2 linked regions of the Diceros bicornis minor genome follow. The protein of the gene in region 1 interacts with the protein of each later gene in a biochemical or structural test. Links are inferred from orthologs where the notes say so. Each region holds a gene or a part of one and is shown on either strand. Other genes may lie near its edges. The genes, in order: USP51 and ZEB1.

The links.
Region 2: the proteins of USP51 (region 1) and ZEB1 form a complex in vitro, tested with the Homo sapiens proteins (2 studies listed by BioGRID). The link is inferred for Diceros bicornis minor from reciprocal best matches to the Homo sapiens genes USP51 and ZEB1.

The regions. Positions count from the first base shown.
Region 1 is NC_080781.1:47,391,199-47,400,529, reverse strand, and holds USP51 (ubiquitin carboxyl-terminal hydrolase 51), read left to right. Parts: upstream 1-5,802; coding exon 5,803-7,920; 3' UTR 7,921-7,973; downstream 7,974-9,331.
Region 2 is NC_080775.1:29,629,869-29,639,389, forward strand, and holds the start of ZEB1 (zinc finger E-box-binding homeobox 1), read left to right. Parts: upstream 1-5,641; coding exon 5,642-5,699; intron 5,700-5,921; exon of another isoform or gene 5,922-6,047; intron 6,048-9,521. UniProt on the Homo sapiens protein: Acts as a transcriptional repressor. Inhibits interleukin-2 (IL-2) gene expression. Enhances or represses the promoter activity of the ATP1A1 gene depending on the quantity of cDNA and on the cell type.

The sequences.
Region 1 (9,331 bases):
ACACTTACTGGCATGGAGATATTTCAGTACTAAAAAAAAATTATGGTTACTGGTGTGTACTATCTGAATATCAACTCCACATTCATGCCCTTCTGCTGAGCCTCCAGGCAAGCCCCTCTTTCAGAGTCTCTGCATAGTCAGACCTGAGGGGATCCTCCAGTTATAGCTCCAGCATCCTCACCCCTCCCCTACTGGTACATGCAGCCCATTGGCTTCTTCAGTGAATGGGGGTTTCCTGACTCCCTCACACAAATACTCGGTAATTTACTCAGAATTGTGTGGAAACATAGCAGACTGAGCCACACGCTCCACTTACATTCTACTATCTAAAGAGCTGAAGCAAATAAATGATAAGGAGACAGAATATAGCACCGTGTCAAAAGTTCTGAAGGCTCCAGGGCCAGCACTTCCCATTCTCATCTGTGTGATCTTCAGTCAATGTGAAATGATCCCTCTGTTTTCACAACTGTCAGGTGTGGATAACGATACCTACCTTGCACTACAAGTGATAGGATACATTTTAATGGGTGTAGAGAAGAGTTCATAATATGCACTTAATAAATGGTTTGTAATACATTTGCCCACTAAGCAGACAAAGTGCTCAGGGCATTATGAAGCGAGAGCAGTCAGAATATGGAATTCAGAGAGGTCTGTGCATATGGATGGGGAAAAGACCAGGGTCTTTATTTTTACCTACCTCTACCTTAAATTGAGCATGTCCTTCAATTATGAACCTAGGCAAGAGACCACAGTAATATTAGTAGTACATGTGACAATGTCACCAATAAAGATTTTCATATCACATTACATTTGTTTCACACTTCTCAAAGTATTGTTTATGCTCATCACTACTTTGAAATTATGGTAGTTGCTATGTCGGTATCACTAGACACTGTTATTTAATGCGTTAATAAAGACGCACTTATGGTATCAAATCACAGTATTTTTTTAAAAAATTCAAAACCATATTTCAGTTTAATAAATTTGTTATAATGCTGTGCATTTAATTTTATGCATTTATTAAAAACAAATATTATTCTCTTAAGGAAGCCACAGGCTACATCCAGCTGCCCAAGAGTCCCATGGCACCAAAGGTTTGAGAATGCCTCTGCTAGGAGATGTTTTAAAATGAGAATCCAGAGGGAAGGGAAGGGACTGGGCTGACATGCTGGGTATTTTCATGTATGTTATCTCACAGACAGGGACAATACGGAAGCTTCTGCGGTTGAAGCACTGGAGTCATGAAGGGCAGAAAGTGAAGATGAGGTTGGACATATTTAGGGTGGGGGGAGTTGGAGTAAGTTGGGCAGTTTCCGTTTTGAAAAACCAAGAGGCCACAGGGAGTCACCATGGGTCTGTGAGCAGGAGAGTTCACATAGCAGTGGTGTCTGAGGCTGTTGTTCTGAAGGCTGGAGGCAGACCAGCTAGGAGCTGGGGCACAGGGAAGAAAGGGAGCAAAAGAAGGGATCCAGCGGGAGAGGGGGCAGGAGGCTGGCAGGCAACGTGGGTCCCAGAAGACCTAAACCAAGTTCACAGCACTCTCCCCGCAGACCTAGTCAGGGACAGGCAATGGCTACAAGGCTGCCTTTTGGAATGCTGGCCTCAGAGAAGTGAGGTGATTGAGGAGAAGAGGCCCAGGTTGGGAGAAAGATGCTGCGTGAGGTTGCAGGGGTCTTGTCTTAAAGGTCCTGAGAGGCACCAGGGGCACAGATGCAGGCTTCTTCCAGATCCCTCTCTTTCTTGTTCCACTCCATCCCAAACCACCCCCAACACCTGCTGCAGATAGAAAACCGTAAGAGCAGCCAAAATAAAATAGTTCTGGGAAACCAGCCACATCAGAAAGGGTTCCTGCTACTAAGGCCAGATGGCCTTGACCTGTGGTTCTTTATACATTAACCCACAGCAGTGGTTCTCAAAGTCCGGTCCCCATAGCAGCAGCAGCAGCATTCAGCACCAGCATTAGCTGGTAAATTGTCAGAAACATAAATTATTGTGCCTCAGCCTAGTTACACAGCTAGCAAACGACTGAGTCAGCATTTCCATCTAGGTCTGCTAACCCAGAAATGAGCAACTCTTTTGTTAGCTGTGGCTGAGCAAACGCCCTTACTTGGGGCGGGGGAAGTATTTTCCTTCTAAGTTAGTCTACAACTCCAAAGAGCTTCCCCTCCAGGTACTTCTACATGATTGAGATTTGGACATGTTTTCCAGCTGCACTGACACAGGACACCTTCTTTCTTTGTGGGCAGTCTCTTCATGCGGCCCTCCCTCTGCTGACAAAGGGGCAGGGTTAGGAGAGGGTGAGGGGCTGGGGCAGGGTCCAAACTGAGGAACCCAACAGGATTCTCCTTAGAGAGGCTGGGCCCAGCGGAGCCTTGCCTGTGTAGTGCTGCTGTGCTCTGAGGGACCCCCTCCAGATCTGGGGAATCAGAGAAGGCCTCCTGACAGAGGGAACATTTGAGCTGGGTGTAAAGCAGGGGGAAACCAAGGGGGAGGCCAGATCCTTGCAGATCAGTCCAGACTGAAGACAACTCTGGGGATGCAACTGGGGCAGGACCTCTGGGGTGACTTCGGAGTCATCGTGGAATCCTGAGGACCTGCTCCCTTCTCCCTGTTGTAGCCCTCAGTGCTCTACTGTCAAGAGGTGGATCAGAATCACAAGGTTCGGTTTGGGTGGAGCAGGCGAGTATGTGGGGGCAATGACTGGCTGTTTTTTAGGTAGAGGTGGTACTGTTGGGAATTCCAGGGCCACTGAGCTCTCCTTACCCCACTCCAGATTTCTGCCAAAGGAAGGACACACAAGACAATGGGTAATTCAGATGGAGGGGAAGAAGCAAGGGAGGTAGGAGGGACTGCCCCTCAGGCCATCAGAGGCCTTCACCTTCCCCTGTGCCACCCACCCACTCACCAGCAGGAGGGTAGGCTATTTCCTCTCTCTGACGCTGCCTCCCCTCAAAGTCCTCCTGGGCACCCACTAGTGACTCCATTTCTGCTTCTCCCACCTCACTGCCACCTTGTGTGTGTACTCCTCCACCCTCTGGTGCAATCTATCTAAATTCCACCTCTAAATCTCTAATGTTTACACAGGACCAAGTTCTACAGTGTTGGCAAATCCTGCTGTCCTTGTTATTATTACTATTATTTTTACTAAAAGTCCTTTGAAAACTCCAGAAGAAGACAAACTAATGTGTCAAAAGGCACCTCAGTTTGAGCAGATCATCCCATCTTTTGAGGCTCTTTCTCAAGGCTCCTATACCGAGAGCTTAGCTGTGTGCAGAGAAACTGAAAATTCTAGCCTGAAAACAGTAAGCCTTCCTTCTCTGCTGTGAGGTTGTGGCAGTTAGAACCATGAGAGCGGCAGTGGCCTTTCCACTCAGCTACGTGGCCATTCGCTGACTTGGAGGCCAAGTACCTGTGAATTGGAAACCTCATTAGGATTCCTGCTAAGTTGTCATGAGATTATGGTAAGAACTGCTAACAGGTCAAACCAGCTCTTTTCTTACTCGGGGAGCTGAGTTGTAAAGATGATGTGTACCTTGCTTAAGGTTACAAATACAGCTAATAATGATGGACAAGCATAAGAGCATTGCTCTCTTGTCTCCCGGGCAAAGGTTCCTGCAAACATATTTCTCTGAAGGAGACTAACTCTGATTTGAAACTGTCAACCTATAGTCACTCTGAACTATAGGACAGTCATGATGGTTCTTCTCTCCAAGATCATGTTGGTCTGTGCTCACTCTGAAAATTCATACAGATTATGGAATCCCATTGATATCCTAAACTCACTGACATCCATTTTGGGAAGGCACCTACAAGATACTACTCTCAAGCCTCAGAGAACTGAATGCTAATCCTGAAGTTTAGAAAGGAGGTGCATGACTGCCCCAGAGAGGTTAAATGTAGCACTAAACATCCTCACTGATGAGCAGGAATATTCTTGGGATTGGACAGGAAGGGCAACAAGCCCTGGAGGTAGCAGCTTTCATGGGAGTTGTGGCCTTGGATGCTGGATCTGTTAAAGAGAAGGGAAAATCTCCTGGGTTAAACTCCTGGAGAACATAAATCGTTTTACTGTTTCTCACAGCACAACCTAGCACAGTAGTACAGTTAAGGGATCCGCGTACATTTGTTGAATGCATGCTCATGTACATGAACTGCTTAGGAGGGATAATCCAGTGAACTGAGCGATAACTTGGAGAGAGCTTCAAAAGAGAGAAGTGTTCTCTTTTCCTCTACTCTAAGTATCAGGCATCTTGCCACAGGCTGATTTAAAGTGGGGACACAGAAAGAGAGGTGTGAAAGATAAAACCTGCCATAAAGATCCTTTACTTTATATATAGTATGATTTAGTGTTCATAATAGGTTAGGATTATTATTATTTCCATTTTTGTTTAACAGACGACACAACTAAGGCTCAGAGAGGTTAGGTGTTTTATCTGAGTTCACACAGCTAGCAAGTGCCTGGGCTCTCCTATCGGAGCCTGAGCCCTTGCTAATGCTTCCTCTCCCCACACTCCAGAATAATATTCCTGTCTCCACTTACCTCCCAGAGATCAGACTCTGATGGGTCCTTGAGGGATTCCTGCCAGGGAGTTGCCACCTCTGCGACCCCCCACCCCCACTCCCACCCCCACTCCAATTAATCTTTTTTCTGCTTTGGGTTCTGTTCCTGGAGCCAGGTCAGGCCAGAACCTCCATTCCAGGAGTTTTCTCTAGAATTTGTCGCTGTGGATACCTCCAGTAGAAGCAGTTTCGGGAAGGAAGAGGTTTGTTTGCGCGGGACAGCAGGGCCATTCATCACGGCACGAGAGCAGCGACTGGGGGCCACATGTCCAGAGGGGAGGGGCAGGGGGCGGCCCCCGTGTGACCGCCCCTGAGGAGAGGTCAGGAGAGAAGGCTGGCTGAGGAGCTCTTGGAGAGCAGCAGCTGCTGACGTTCTGTATCACGCGCCGGGGCCCAAGGTAACTAACTCAGAGATTTTTAAACAAACAGAAGGGCTGGGGGCGTTGCGGAGCCGGGGGCGGGAAGGAGCAGAGACTTCGGCGGTCGGGCACTGGAGATGGGGGCGCCGAACGCGTGGTGGGCGTGAGAAGGAGTCCGAATTCTAGGAGTAATTATAGGGAATGAGGGCGCTGAAGCAAGAAACCAGGTGTGAGAGGGAACACAAGCACGAAAGAGCGTTGAGGGTGCAAGAGCGTGGCTGACCAAAAGACAGTGTGCTTGGAGATAGGGGCAAAGGGTGGAACATACCCAGCCCCATAAGCATGGAGGCAAGGGGACATTTTCTTCCCCTCAGCCCATTTTCCATAGGTGGCCCCCTTTCAGCCATTTTTAAGGTAAAATGTTGACCCAAGTGTTTTTTTAGGATATAAGGAAAGAACATCAGAGGAAGCTAGCTGTAGTAAAGCGAGGCTTCGCAAGGTGCAGGAAAGTCAGAGGGTGGCGCCTTTTTTAAAGAAGATTCCATCTCTTTCCACCCTAAAGCTCAGAGCGTACCCCGTCCACAACTTTTCCTTCCTCCGTCCGTCTAGCCGCCCCCCCCCCGCCCCCGTCACCATCCGATCGTCTTTAAAACAGGTAAGGCCTCTATCTCCACACCAGCTCCGGGAGCCTCTGAGTAGAGGGGGTGGAGCCCACAGAGGCCGCTGGCTGAGCTCAAGGGCTGGTGGGAGGGGTCTCGGGGTCGCTAATGGCGCAAAGGGGCTGTGACGCTGGCCTGATCTTTAACAGAAATCTTTGTCTTATTCCATCTACAGTCGCAGCTCAATTCCAGACGCCTTTCTCCTTAGGCCAGGCGGTGAGCTGATGGCCCAAGTTCAAGAAGCTTCCTTGCCCTCCAGCTCTTGGGTCTGCTGGAGCTCCGGAGGTGGGGGAGGAGCATCGCCCGAGGAGGCGGTGGAGAAGGCTGGGGACACGGAGGAGGAGGCAGTGGGGGCGGCGAAGGTGTGTTCAGGCCAGGGAGCTGAGGAGATGAAGCTGGAGCCACTACAAGAGCGTAAGCCCGCGCCTGAGGAGAACTTGACATGGAGTGGCAGCGGCGGCGACGAGAAGGTGCTCCCTTCTACTCCCCCTCGCTGTCAGAGCAGCTGCTCATCCCTTTGCCCGCGCCGCAAGCCTCGCCCTCGGCCCCAGCCCCCTGCCCGCTCCCGAGGCCCCCCCGGGCCTTCGGCCCTACCCCTGCCTCCAGCCGGTCCTTTCCCTCTATCTCTGCCCCTGCCCCGTCGCTGGCGCAGATCTCGGCGTAGATCTCGGCCAGGGTCCAGGCCCCAGACATGGCGAAGCTGTTCTGGTGACCTGGGCGGCTCTGGGGATCGAGGTGGCTTAGGGGACTGGTTGCTGGAGTTGGAGTTTGATCAGGGTCCCACAGGCTGCTCTCATGTGGAGAGCTTTAAAGTAGTTAAGAACTGGAAGAAGAACCTGCGGTTGATCTACCAGCGTTTTGTTTGGAGTGGGACCCCAGAGACTAGGAAACATAAGGCAAAGTCGTGCATCTGTCATGTGTGTAGTACCCATATGAACAGACTCCACTCTTGTCTCACCTGTGTCTTTTTTGGCTGCTTTACCGAGAAACATATTCACAAACATGCGGAAACAAAACAGCACAATTTAGCTGTAGACCTCTATCATGGAGTTGTATATTGCTTCATGTGTAAGGATTACATATGTGACAAAGACATAGAACAGATTGCCAAAGAAACGAAAGAGAAAATTTTGAAATTATTAATTTCCACCTCAACAGATTTTTCTCAACAACAGTGTATGACATCAGGTGTTGAAGAGAAGCAATCAACCTGTGAATCAAAGGAACAGGAGCCAAAACTGGTGAAACCCAAGAAAAAGAGGAGAAAAATGTCAGTCTATACTGTAGGCCTGAGAGGGCTGATCAATCTTGGGAACACTTGCTTTATGAATTGTATTGTCCAGGCACTTACCCATATTCCTCTACTGAAAGATTTCTTCCTCTCTGACAAGCACAAATGTATAATGACAAGCCCCAGCTTGTGTCTTGTCTGTGAAATGTCTTCGCTTTTTCATGCTATGTACTCTGGGAGCCGAACTCCTCACATTCCCTATAAATTGCTGCACCTGATATGGATTCATGCAGAACACTTAGCAGGGTACAGGCAGCAGGATGCCCACGAGTTCCTTATTGCAATATTAGATGTGCTGCATAGACACAGCAAAGATGATAGTGTTGGGCAGGAGGCCAATAACCCCAACTGCTGTAACTGCATCATAGACCAAATCTTTACAGGTGGCTTGCAGTCAGATGTCACATGTCAAGCTTGCCATAGTGTCTCCGCCACAATAGACCCATGCTGGGACATCAGTTTGGATTTGCCTGGCTCTTGTGCCACGTTCCGTTCCCAGAGTCCAGAAAGGAATGACAGCACAGTGAGTAGGGATGACCACATACCAGGAATCCCCTCACTAACAGACTGCCTACAGTGGTTTACAAGGCCAGAACACCTCGGAAGGAGTGCCAAAATCAAATGCAGTAGTTGCCAAAGCTACCAGGAATCTACCAAACAACTCACAATGAAGAAATTACCCATTGTGGCCTGTTTTCATCTCAAGCGGTTTGAACATGTTGGCAAACAGAGGCAAAAGATTAATACTTTTATCTCCTTTCCCTTGGACCTGGACATGACTCCATTTTTGGCCTCCACTAAAGAGAACAGAATGGAAGAAGGCCAGCCACCAACAGATTGTGCACCCAAGAAGAATAAGTATTCTTTGTTTGCAGTGATTAATCACCATGGAACTTTGGAAAGTGGACACTACACCAGCTTTATCCGGCAACAAAAGGACCAGTGGTTCAGCTGTGATGATGCTGTCATCACCAAGGCTACCATTGAGGACTTACTCTACAGTGAAGGATATTTACTATTCTATCACAAACAGGGTCTAGAGAAAGACTAGTCTTATCAGACCACTTACCAAAAAAAAGTAAAAGAAATGAATAGGCAAGGATCCTGAAGTGACACACACACCTACCTGGAATGGACAATGACAGTACCCATACAACAACCAGCACCTCTTGAAAAACACAAAAACCTGTCTGAAATGGACAATGATAACAGCATCTATATGACAATTAGCACCTTGTTATAAAGAACTTATTTTACCATGGCTTATGGGTCTGTAAGAGGGAAAAGAATACTGACTAGTGACCATTCAGCCTTAATAAATGGGAGGAGGTAAAAGAGGTTGAAAATGGTCACATAAAGCATACATAATTAAGTGAAAAGAATGCTTTAGGTGGGGAGAGTGGGACTAGAGATGTTCTGGCACTACTATATGTCATTTGTTTCTACACAAATACTGTGGGAGGTCGGGGAGTATTCCTTCATCAGCAAAAAGCTTCACAGTTGGTGTTCTAGCTGTGGCTGACCAAATAGTTTGAAAAAAAAAAGAGGATATTTTAAAAAGCTTTAAAAGAAAAACATTTATAAAGCAAAAAACATTTTTTAAAAATTTTCAAAGAAAAAATTTTTAAATGTTTAAAAAATTTTAAGTTAAATATTTTTAAAACAAATGTTTCAAAAATTACAAGGAGTTTTTTAAAACTTCAAAATTATTAAAATAAGGCTTAAAAACAAATTTTGGAAAGTCTTAGTTTAAAAAAGGTGAATAAAACAAGAAAAAAATTATAAATGAAAGTTAAAAAAGTGAAACAGTTTTAAAATTAAGAAGTTAAAAGAAAAAAGGAAACTCTTAAAATTAAAAGTTTAAATGAAATAAAATGTTAATATAAATAAATCTTGCCTAAAATATGTGTTGAAAAATCAAAGGTTAACAAAATTCGTGAATAGTTTAATGATTGAGAAATAAATTTTCAAAAAATACAGAATGTAATGAAAATTCAAATTTAAGTTTAGAGAAAAATTTAGAACAATTCAAGACAAAAAGACAAAATTTGTTTAAAAATTTTAAATTTAAAAAGGAAAAATTAGAGAAAATAGAGAATCTTAAAATATATAAAGAACCTTAGACAAGTTCAATTTGAGAAATTTAAATAAAAACTATTTAAACAAAAAGGATAAAAAAATTTAAACCTTTACAAAAACATTTAAATAAAAATCAAAAAATTAAAAAAATTAAAAACATTTAAATAGAAAAAAGTATTAAAATTAAAAAGCTTAAACGTTTTATTTTTTAATTTAAGTATTTTAAAGTACATAGGGGTGTGAAAGAAGTAACTGGAGGAGACAGGAATAACAAGACAAAAGAGTTTGTGAATATATATTTATTTTAAGTTTTGTGTTGATACATAAATAGAATTTGAAAAAAAAAAAGATTTTAACCATCATTTTACCATCCAATTGTGAGA
Region 2 (9,521 bases), on another chromosome or scaffold:
TTCTTTGTTGACAAGAAATAAGGTGAAAAAATACATTTTATTTCTATATGTGTATTACCCAGGCAACGAATGGCACACTCAAAGGATAAATTGAAGAGTCTGATGAAGAGACTGTTTACAGAGATGTGGGCAGGCTTAAGGGAACCAGTAAGAGATAAAGTACCCAAGGACTTGCAACAGGAGGAAATCATTACCATTCCTAGGCCTAAAGGGACACAGGGAAGAAGCAATTTCTAGAACTTGCCAAGACCTATAGCCATGGGTCAGAGTTGTCTGACCAGAGACATGGCCTTAGGTAGAGGAATGAAGCTACTGCCAAAAGCCACAGACAGGCAGGAGGGAGTGCGGGGGAAGGTGAAATAAATATCCTGACCTCTCTCTCTTCCTTTCCTCTGATCATTTGCCAATGCCTCCAAATTGGCTGAAACCAAACAGACACCAGGGCAAAGGAGCCTGGGTGATGTGGTCCACAGAAATCAGCCTCTCAGAGCATGGAAAGGCAGAGAATGGACTTTGAGGGACAGAGAATAACCAGCAAAATATGAAAAAGCAAAGCATTTTACAGAGTTGGAATGATTCAAAAAACCTTGAACCAAAAGAGAAAAGGAATTGACCTGAACAGAGCTGTGTCAGATCTGGGACAAAGACAGACAGAGGAAAGAATGATTAAAAAGCAAAACAGTAGAGAGGGGCACAGTGTGTGATCTATTTATGTAAGTATGATAAGGAGAGTGAGTAAAGAAATAGAGGCACAAGATGAAAGGATGAGAAGGGTCTGACCAGGGATCTTAAAGTTGTGGGTATATTTAAACACAGAGTATCTCCTATTGCTGACTTTTTCTTGTGAGTTTAACACAATGGCAGGACATGTAAAACCTGTTATTGACTGCAAATATTCCAAATACACATAGTCCAAGGATTGAACAGTAGCAATGATTGTAACTGAGGATCCATGGAATATAGAAGGCCAGGGCTGTAGGTCAAAGATGCCAGCCACACTGTAACAGAATCAGTCAGCTGCTCAAAGTCGTCAAGATGGCAGAGAAAAGAAATACGCGGAGGCAAGAGGGAAAACCAGCAGCAGAAACCAGATATCAGACGCCTGATATCACTGTAGATACTTAAAATTCACTCAAATCCAAAATATGTATGTTGCGCTCTCTAGTACAAATTACCTACCTATAGTTAAGTACAGAAAAAATTCTAATCATGTTCATAAGTGATATCAATATTAGAAACTATAATCTATCTTCTGTGGAGCTAGCCTTTGAAAGCAATGTCTTAATTATTGTGATTTTATGGAAAAGATCAGTTTTACATTTTGGGTGCCAGCCCTGGTCGTCTAGTGGTTACGAGTCAGCATTCTCACCGCTGTGGCCCAGGTTCCTTTCCTGGCCAGGGAACCACACCATGTGTCTGTCTGCCGGCTGTACTACTGTGGCGGCTGTGTGTTGCTGTGATGCTGTGAGCTATGCCACCGTTATTTCAAATACCAGCAGGGTCACCCATGGTGGACAGGTTTCAGTGGAGCTTCCAGACTAAGAGACTAGGAAGAAGGACCTGGTTACCCACTTCCGAAAACACTGGCCATGAAAACCCTGTGAAGAGCAGTGGAGCCTTGTCTGATACAGCACCAGAAGGTGAGAGGATGGAGCAGAAAGACCAGGCAGGGTTCTGCTCTGTTGTCCACAGGGGTGCTAAGAGTTGGAATCCACTCCACAGCACTAACAACAAACTTTTGGATGTTCATTAATATCCTTCAAATCTCTCTCTCTACATTTATTTATACTTACATCTCGCTATATTAGACATGTTCCTAAAAGTTGCCCCCCAAATAAGAAGCTCCATGTGTTAACACTTTATTGACATATTAAAAATAGGAGTCTTATTCTCCAGCAGGGGTAAAACCATTTTGTAGTGCAATATATAATAAAACCACACGGAGGTTTGCAGAAAACATCTGTCCCTATTACCTCCCGGGAGGCTTAATTAGAAAAGCTGATGTGGGTCCTAAAGACTGTTGGTTCTACATCACCCCCTAGTCATGGTTCCTTCTTGACTCAGGGACTGTAGAATCTGGTGAAATTGCAGGCAGTGAAACGACCACTGCTCTCTTTTGTGTCATTGTGAACCACATATCCAGAGTTACTCTTGAGCCAAAGACTGAGGAGCAACTTCAGGGGATTCTAAATTTGATGGATAACATCTATCAAATTTTTTTTCCTTCAAAGCTCTAAGATTAAGATTACACGTTAATGTCATTAATTTAATTAATTAATACGTTATCCTTCCATGAAAATAATCAACTTTTTATTTTGATGAAGATTACAGAATCATATTATAAATAAGTTATACTTCTCAAATGTGTTCAGGAAGTAAGGTACATGGAAATCACATGCTCGATGTGGAACACCATGAAACACCTACATTTTAAACTTAAAATGATTTTATGTCAAATTTTATCCTAATACATAAATCTTCTATGGAAAGCAAATAGGTGCAAAGGGTTCATGAAAAATTTATAGGAAAAAACTTAATATTGAAAATATTCTATCCATTTACATTTTTCCCTGTAAATTTAGAAAAGATTATAGTAATTCATTTTTAGCAGAATACCTCCCTTTCAGCATATGCAATCCCAGTGCTCGCTAGAAGCACAGTGTTAACATTTCATTGACGTCAAAAATAGGAGTATACATTGAAAACGTGTGACGGCACCACAATTACTAAAAACCAACAATACAGGACACATGTTAAACTCTTATTAGTATCCCCACCATCTTTTATTTAAATAAGTCTAAATTTTAATAAATTTATTCCTTTTTTAAATTTACTCAAGATTTTTTCCACTTCTTTAGTTATATTTAAGAGGTGTAAGAAGCAACCATTACAATATGCATCAGGTTTACAACAACGATTTATTCTGAGATTTACTTTTGTCTGCTTTCTTTCCAGTCTAGATTTCAATAATTTTGGAAACATTACAGCAAAAAAAGTGTATTAATCAAATATTCAATTTATAACATATGTAATTATTACAGGTTTACAAAATTAAAAATTTGTATTAGATTTGGGATATGAATAATATTTCCTGTGCATATTTTAAAAATAGGAGTGAGCAGAGGTAATCGTTTGGGGAAAATGATTATGGACTATCTAAAACGAAGAGCAATTAACCTCAAAATAATGCAGGATATAAATGACAGTAAACAGCTTTTACATCCACCATTTCAACTGCTCCTTAGAACTAATGTGATGAAAGCAGATAAACAACCCTTACTTTATAGCCAAAAACATTCAGGAAAGGTCAACAATATTGATTGATTTAATAAATATTTACTTACTGAGCATCTACTATGTGACTAGGTACTCTGCTAAGTGATGAGGGCACAGAAATGAACAAGCAAAAAAAAAAAAACAAAAACCAAAAAAACACTGTATCTGTCCACACAGTTAAATAAAGTCTGGCCCAAGCTAACTAAACTAGTAACCACTAAAGTAAGGCAGAAAATGACTTCTACTTGGCTTATCCCTTCACTTTCTCTCTTGGATTTCAAGGTGAGGATGAACACTGAAGAAAGCTAGTAGGGAGGTACAGGACAGGCACTTCAGAAAGAGAAAATGGCATGTAGGATACTTCGTGTGCTACAGTTAGAAAGTATTTTTTTTTTCCTTTCTGATTGGAAATTAGGGTAGCTATAAAAAAGTTACTTGTGGGGGGGGCGGGGAGGGAGGGGGGCGCTGCTAGCAAAAGACAAAGTCTATAACCTGAATCAGAAGGCAACTGAAGAACATGATACAGCTCTTAAGAGGGTAGGAAAAAAAACGTGAACCAAGCAAAGCCTGGACAAGGTTCTGGTTCTGACATGCACAAGTTCAGTCAACATGGTATTGAGAAAAGTGAGGACTGCCTGTACTTAAAATGATCAGTAGAAATAATGATTCTAGTCTTGGCACTGAGGAGAGTAGATATACAGACATAATGTATAGCACAGAATATTTACAGTCACATTTCATGCACCAATAAATAACGCATTCACTTCTCAAATGCCAAAGCCAACGTGGGAGAGAAAATTTTCATCTATATTCAGGATTAAACTTTCTAATTTTAAATTACCAGACTTCAGCTGTAAATTTATTTCAGTTGAAAGGTTTGAGGAGATTATTAATGCATCTTCTAAAATTCTGGAGGGTGTTCAAAAGACTATTTTAACATAATAAAGAATCCTGCCATAGGTATAACAAAAATTATAGGCATAAATTTATCGAAGACCTACTATGTGAGAGCACTGTGCTGGGCGACTTACTATGTTACTTCTAATAGTCTATGTCATGTTTCAGTTTCCTCAATTTCTCTATCAATAATTCTTACATAGTTAATTCATAACTATATTATCTGAAATACAGCTCAGCTCATTTATTCCATAAAGTTGGTCCCAAAGACATTCCCTCACTTGAATGGGGGAGGGGGGAAGGAGCGGAAAGCTAAGTCCTACTGAATACTGAAGACGACTTTCTTGGTATTTGTGGTGTTATCTACGCGGTCTTTCAGAAATCCCCAAACTTGTACAAAGTCAGGGACTCGAGATAGGATCAGCAATCTAACAGTCTCAAAGGCCACACGTGCGGCCGCTGTTTCGTGCCTTAAGGTCCCATAGGGCGGTAACTGCCCATTTAGGTGGTAAATCGTGGCCTGTCGATACCTTCACTCTAAGTCTTGACGCCTACAGCCTACTCTAAGGGGACAGCGGGGAGGAGGGCGGGGCGGCGGAGGCCGAGGTGACAGCAGGTGAGGGCCCGCGCATGAGGAAGTGAGACAGGGACAGCGTGGGTATTACTCATTCCGCTTACCGCCCAGGCGGCTTGCAAGCGGAACTTGTCGTCTCTCTCTGGGTCCAGCTTAAGTTCTACCTAATTGAAATCACTCTCTAGCCCGGGTCGCTCGGGGGAAACCCGCGCGTCCGTGGAAGGGAGGGAGTCAAGTAGCGCTCTCGCGACGCGCGCGTCCTCGCCGTCAGAGGCCGGGCTTCCCAAAGCCGCCCCTCGCCGTGCCTCTGATTCCGGGACTCCCCGGGGAGCCAGGCACGACCCTCTCCCGGGCCCGGGGGCGCGCCGAGCGGACAAACGATGCGTGGGGGGGAGCCCCACCTCGGGGACGAGGGAGGGCAGGTGGCTCCGTCTCTCGGAGGCGCAGCTCTGAGGGCACAGGGTCCCCAGCAGGAGCCAGACCCATACGCGCCCCAGGCGGCCGCGGCGGGCGTGGCCAGTTCAGAGGCGGATCGCCACGCAGCCTCCCACTTTACCTTTCTCACTCCGCCGGCCTGTCGCCCTTCTGGCCACGTCCCCACAGTCTCCTAACGCCCCCTCCCCCGTCCCCCGACACCTGAGGGAAACTTTTCCCTCTCCCCCCGATTCAAACTCAGCGGCTCCTACGGTTGCCGCAAACCGTCCTCTCCCTAGCAACAAGGTTCCGGCCGTAGAGCGAGCGGCTCTAGGTGTAAGGAAGGTGATGTCGTAAAGCCGCGAGTGTCGTAAACCAGGTGCGGTGGGGAGGGGGGAGGGGTGGAGGCGGAGGGGTGGGGGGGAAGGGGGAGGGAGGGGGAGGAGGTGACTCGAGCATTTAGACACAAGCGAGAGGATCATGGCGGATGGCCCCAGGTGTAAGCGCAGAAAGCAGGCGAACCCGCGGCGCAATAACGGTGAGTGGCGGAGGGGACCGGGGAGCGGCGGAGTCAGGGGGAGCCGGGCAGCCGGGGCGCCCCGGGGGTAAGGGGGGCGAGCTGGGCTGGGGGCGGCCGGGGCAGGGACGGGCAAAGTGGAGTGGGAAAGTAGAAAGTAGTGCTCTCTGCCCCCCTCCGCTGCCGCCGCAGCCGGAGCCGCGCCGCGGCCGCTCGCTCTCCCTGAACCGTTATGTCTCTTACCTGGTCTCTCTCCGCCTAGCGGCTCCTGCCGCCCCTGCCGCCTCCCTGGACCGTTAGCCGCCGCCGCATCCCGGCGCAGGGCGGGCGGCCCGGACGCGGCCGGCCACTTTTCTGGGCTCGGGGGAGCGGCTGTTGCTTCTTCTCGCACTTTTCCCCACTCTTTCGCCCCTCGGCGCCTCCCCTCTCCCCCGCCTCCCGGCCCCTCCGCGTTCGGCTCCCTGGGCGCCGAGGCCCCCGGGAGCCGCGGAACGAACTTGTGCCCGGCGCTGACCGTGCAAAGTGGCTTCCGCGCGCCGCCGCCCCGGCCGGCACCGCCGCCCGGGCCCCGCGGCTCGGCCGAACGGGCGGGCGGGCCGGGCCGGGCTGCGAGCGCGCGGCGGGCGGGACGCGGCGGCCGTGGGCTGCGTGTCGTCCGTGCGCGCGTGTGCGCCGCGCGCGCGGCGGGCGGCCCGGGCTCGGCCGGCGGCGGTAAAGTTGGGACCGGCTGGCGAGGCGCGCTCGCGGAGTGGGCATTAGCGGCGCGGAGGCGCGGGTCCCTCAGCGCCCCTCCTCCCCGCGCCTCGGGCCATCGAGCTCCGGGCCCCCGGCCTGGGGGCGCCGAGGCGAGCCCCGCGCGGGAGGACCCGGTGGTGCGGGAGCCGGCGGGCGGGAGCGGGCACCTCCTTGCTGGGGGACGTGTGGATGGCGGCGAGCCGGGCAGCGGGTGTGTGCGCGGAGTTACCTGGGCTCAGACGGGAAAGCACCACAGACAGATCCCCCCTTCCCGGGAAGACTCCTCCGCGCCGGGATGGGGTCCTGCACCTACGCCTCTCTTTTTTCTCTTTCGGTTTTTGGGGAAGTTGTTACCTGGGCCGGACGCTCGGAGCGCTGAAGCCGGATAATGGAGCTTGGATGGCGCTCTCGGTCTCGGGTGGAAGGAGGGTGGGGGAGGGGGCGGACGGACCGACGGACGCGCGGGTCCGCTGCTCGCGCTGCAGCTGCAGTGCTTATTGATTTGTGCTGAGGTGCCGGGGACACACACACCCCTCTGCCTGGCGTGAGAGTTAAAAAAAGCAAAACACGAGAGAGAGAAACGGAGGGAGAGGGAGAGAGCGCGAGAGAGCAGGACCCGAACATGTGGTTGTTGTTGCACAGTCGCCTTTTCCAGTTTGGAGAGACGGTGTAAGTTGATTGTATTTCTGCTTATCTCGGGGGCGAGTCTGTGCTTTCTCTCCCTCTGGTTCAGCAGCGAAATGTCTGCTGATTGTTATTGTCTGGACAGTTCCTGTGGCGAGAGGGGCGAGACTTCTCCGCCCGGGGGCGGCGGGAGCGCGGGGAGAGGACCCCGCCCGCGCCGGCCGGGTACCTGTTTGTATAATAATGGGCGGCAACGGCCTGCGCTGGCTGCAGCCAGGCTATATAAGGAATTACACGTACATTTCGGACCGAGGGGCTCCTTTGCGTTCCTGCGTTATTTTAAAAACGAGTTTTTAAGAGTAGGGCAATAAATGCGCCTCTAATGGGATCGCTGTATCTTCCAGAAAATGAGGAAATACGTGTTTAAGTGAAAACTCGCGCGCGCTCCCCCCGCCCCACCCCCCGCTCTCGGGATCCATTCTCCCTCCCCTCTGGGATGCGAAACGCGAGGTTTTGTAACCTTTCCTGGCAATTTTAGATTTTGTGTGGGATTTCCTGTCGAGAAGCAGATACGAAGATTTAAAGCTGTTTCAAGATGTTTCCTTCCAATCGTAAACATATTTTTAATATATTTGAGCCGACATTAAAATCACTGCTTTCATGAGTGATTTTAGATATTCAAATAAACGTTTTCATTTTAAAGACGTCTGTTAGTTATGACTGATAACTAATATTTGGTATCCTCATTGTGGAGAGATGACTTGTTACAGCAAGGAGCGAAGCATAGGCGATTGCAATTTTAATTTCCTGTTTTAGCGTCAAATAGTGTGTCCTATATTGAGCTGTTGCCGCTGTTGCTGATGTGGCTTTATGAAAGGTAAGTTGGTTCGGAAAGGGCTGTTCGCTCTACCTTATTTAAAATGTTCATCGCCAGAGAAAGGGGCTTTTCTTGTTGCTGACGACATGTGTGTGACATGTGAGTCTGAACCACCCAGCGTCTGTGCAGCTGCTGTAAACATGTTTACCTGAACAGGAAAGAATGGATTTTTCTCCTAAAGATCCTGTGATATGAATATTATACTCATAAGGCATATCAACAGATGACTTAAGGGAAAAAAAGCTATCCTGAAAGGTACTTGAAATCAACAGGAAAAAGAGGTTCTCGATCGCTGCAGCAAATGGCAACTTGTGCAGGTAGAAAAAAGATGGTGTTTAGTTTTCTCCTGCATGTATGTCAGCCCACTCCTGTCTGCTGCTTTCATTCTCAAGGGAGGGATTATTTACCATGCTTGCTGTCAGTGTTTTTCCTTTGTGTTTAATATTAGAAAAACAGATTTGGGGCCGTTTAGCACAAAATGTCTTGTCTGCAGTATGCATTACTCTCAGAAAACAAAAGGTGTTTAAGATAGCACTGTACTACCACAGGTATCTTCCATTTTCATCACTTTTGGCTCTGTCTTAGTATTTCTTTTTGTTCTCAAATGCATTTCATCCATCGCTGTTGATTACAGCCATGCTACTTGATTAAGCCTTATAATTTGCAAATTAAAAATGAAGTTATATGCCATTGTGTTGTGAAACCTCAGGATAGATTCTGGTTAATATGTCTTAGCAACGCGATCATGTTTATGTTGCAGTTGTTTTTTGGAGAGAATTACTTGGAAAAATGTTAACTCAAATCTTTTTAATGAAGGAATAAGTGATGTGTACAGTGAGAGATAGTCATAGAGATACTTAATGCAGTTATTTATATGTAAATCATTTTTTGTTCATTTTAAAATAAGGTATGCAGATTTTACTGCTAAGCCTCCAGTAAAATATTTTAATTTCCTTTCTGGAATATATCTGCTGAGTAGGGTTTTAATGGGAGAATCAAGTAATGTAACTTGACAGGGGTAAACCACTGATATGTAACTTTATGGTAATGATGTTAGTCATCTATAAAGGAGTGGCATTTGAATTGCTTAAATCAATTTTTACCACTTATAATGTAATGCTTTGTTGTATTTTAAAAATCTGTCTTCTCATTTTCCACTTCTCCCTGTGTGGTTTTCTTATTATTACTTTTTTTTTTTTTTTTGGAGAAATGTACTCTATGTACTAATGACCACATGCTGATTAATTCACTTTAGATGGAATAGCAGGTACTTATCTTTCTGTCGTTTGCACCATTTACACTTGCTGTCTTTGGAAACCACCAGTAGAGGATGCTAACAAAAATGATTATTGGTGTAGTAGTACCATAAGTCTCTCTATCTCCTGTTGATTGGGACCTCTGCGTTGATAGGGACCTTCGGTATAATTCTGAGTCTTACTGTTATTTAAAACTAGCCCTGGGCAAATTAAGCTTAAGAATTTTCTAGTGTGCTAAGGCTGGAAAAAAATAGGGATGTTTTAACTTGAACGATTTTATAAATTTGGGCTTTTTAAATCTTGACATTGAGATTGCTGTCAATTTAGTTTTGCTTTAGACAAGTTGTATTA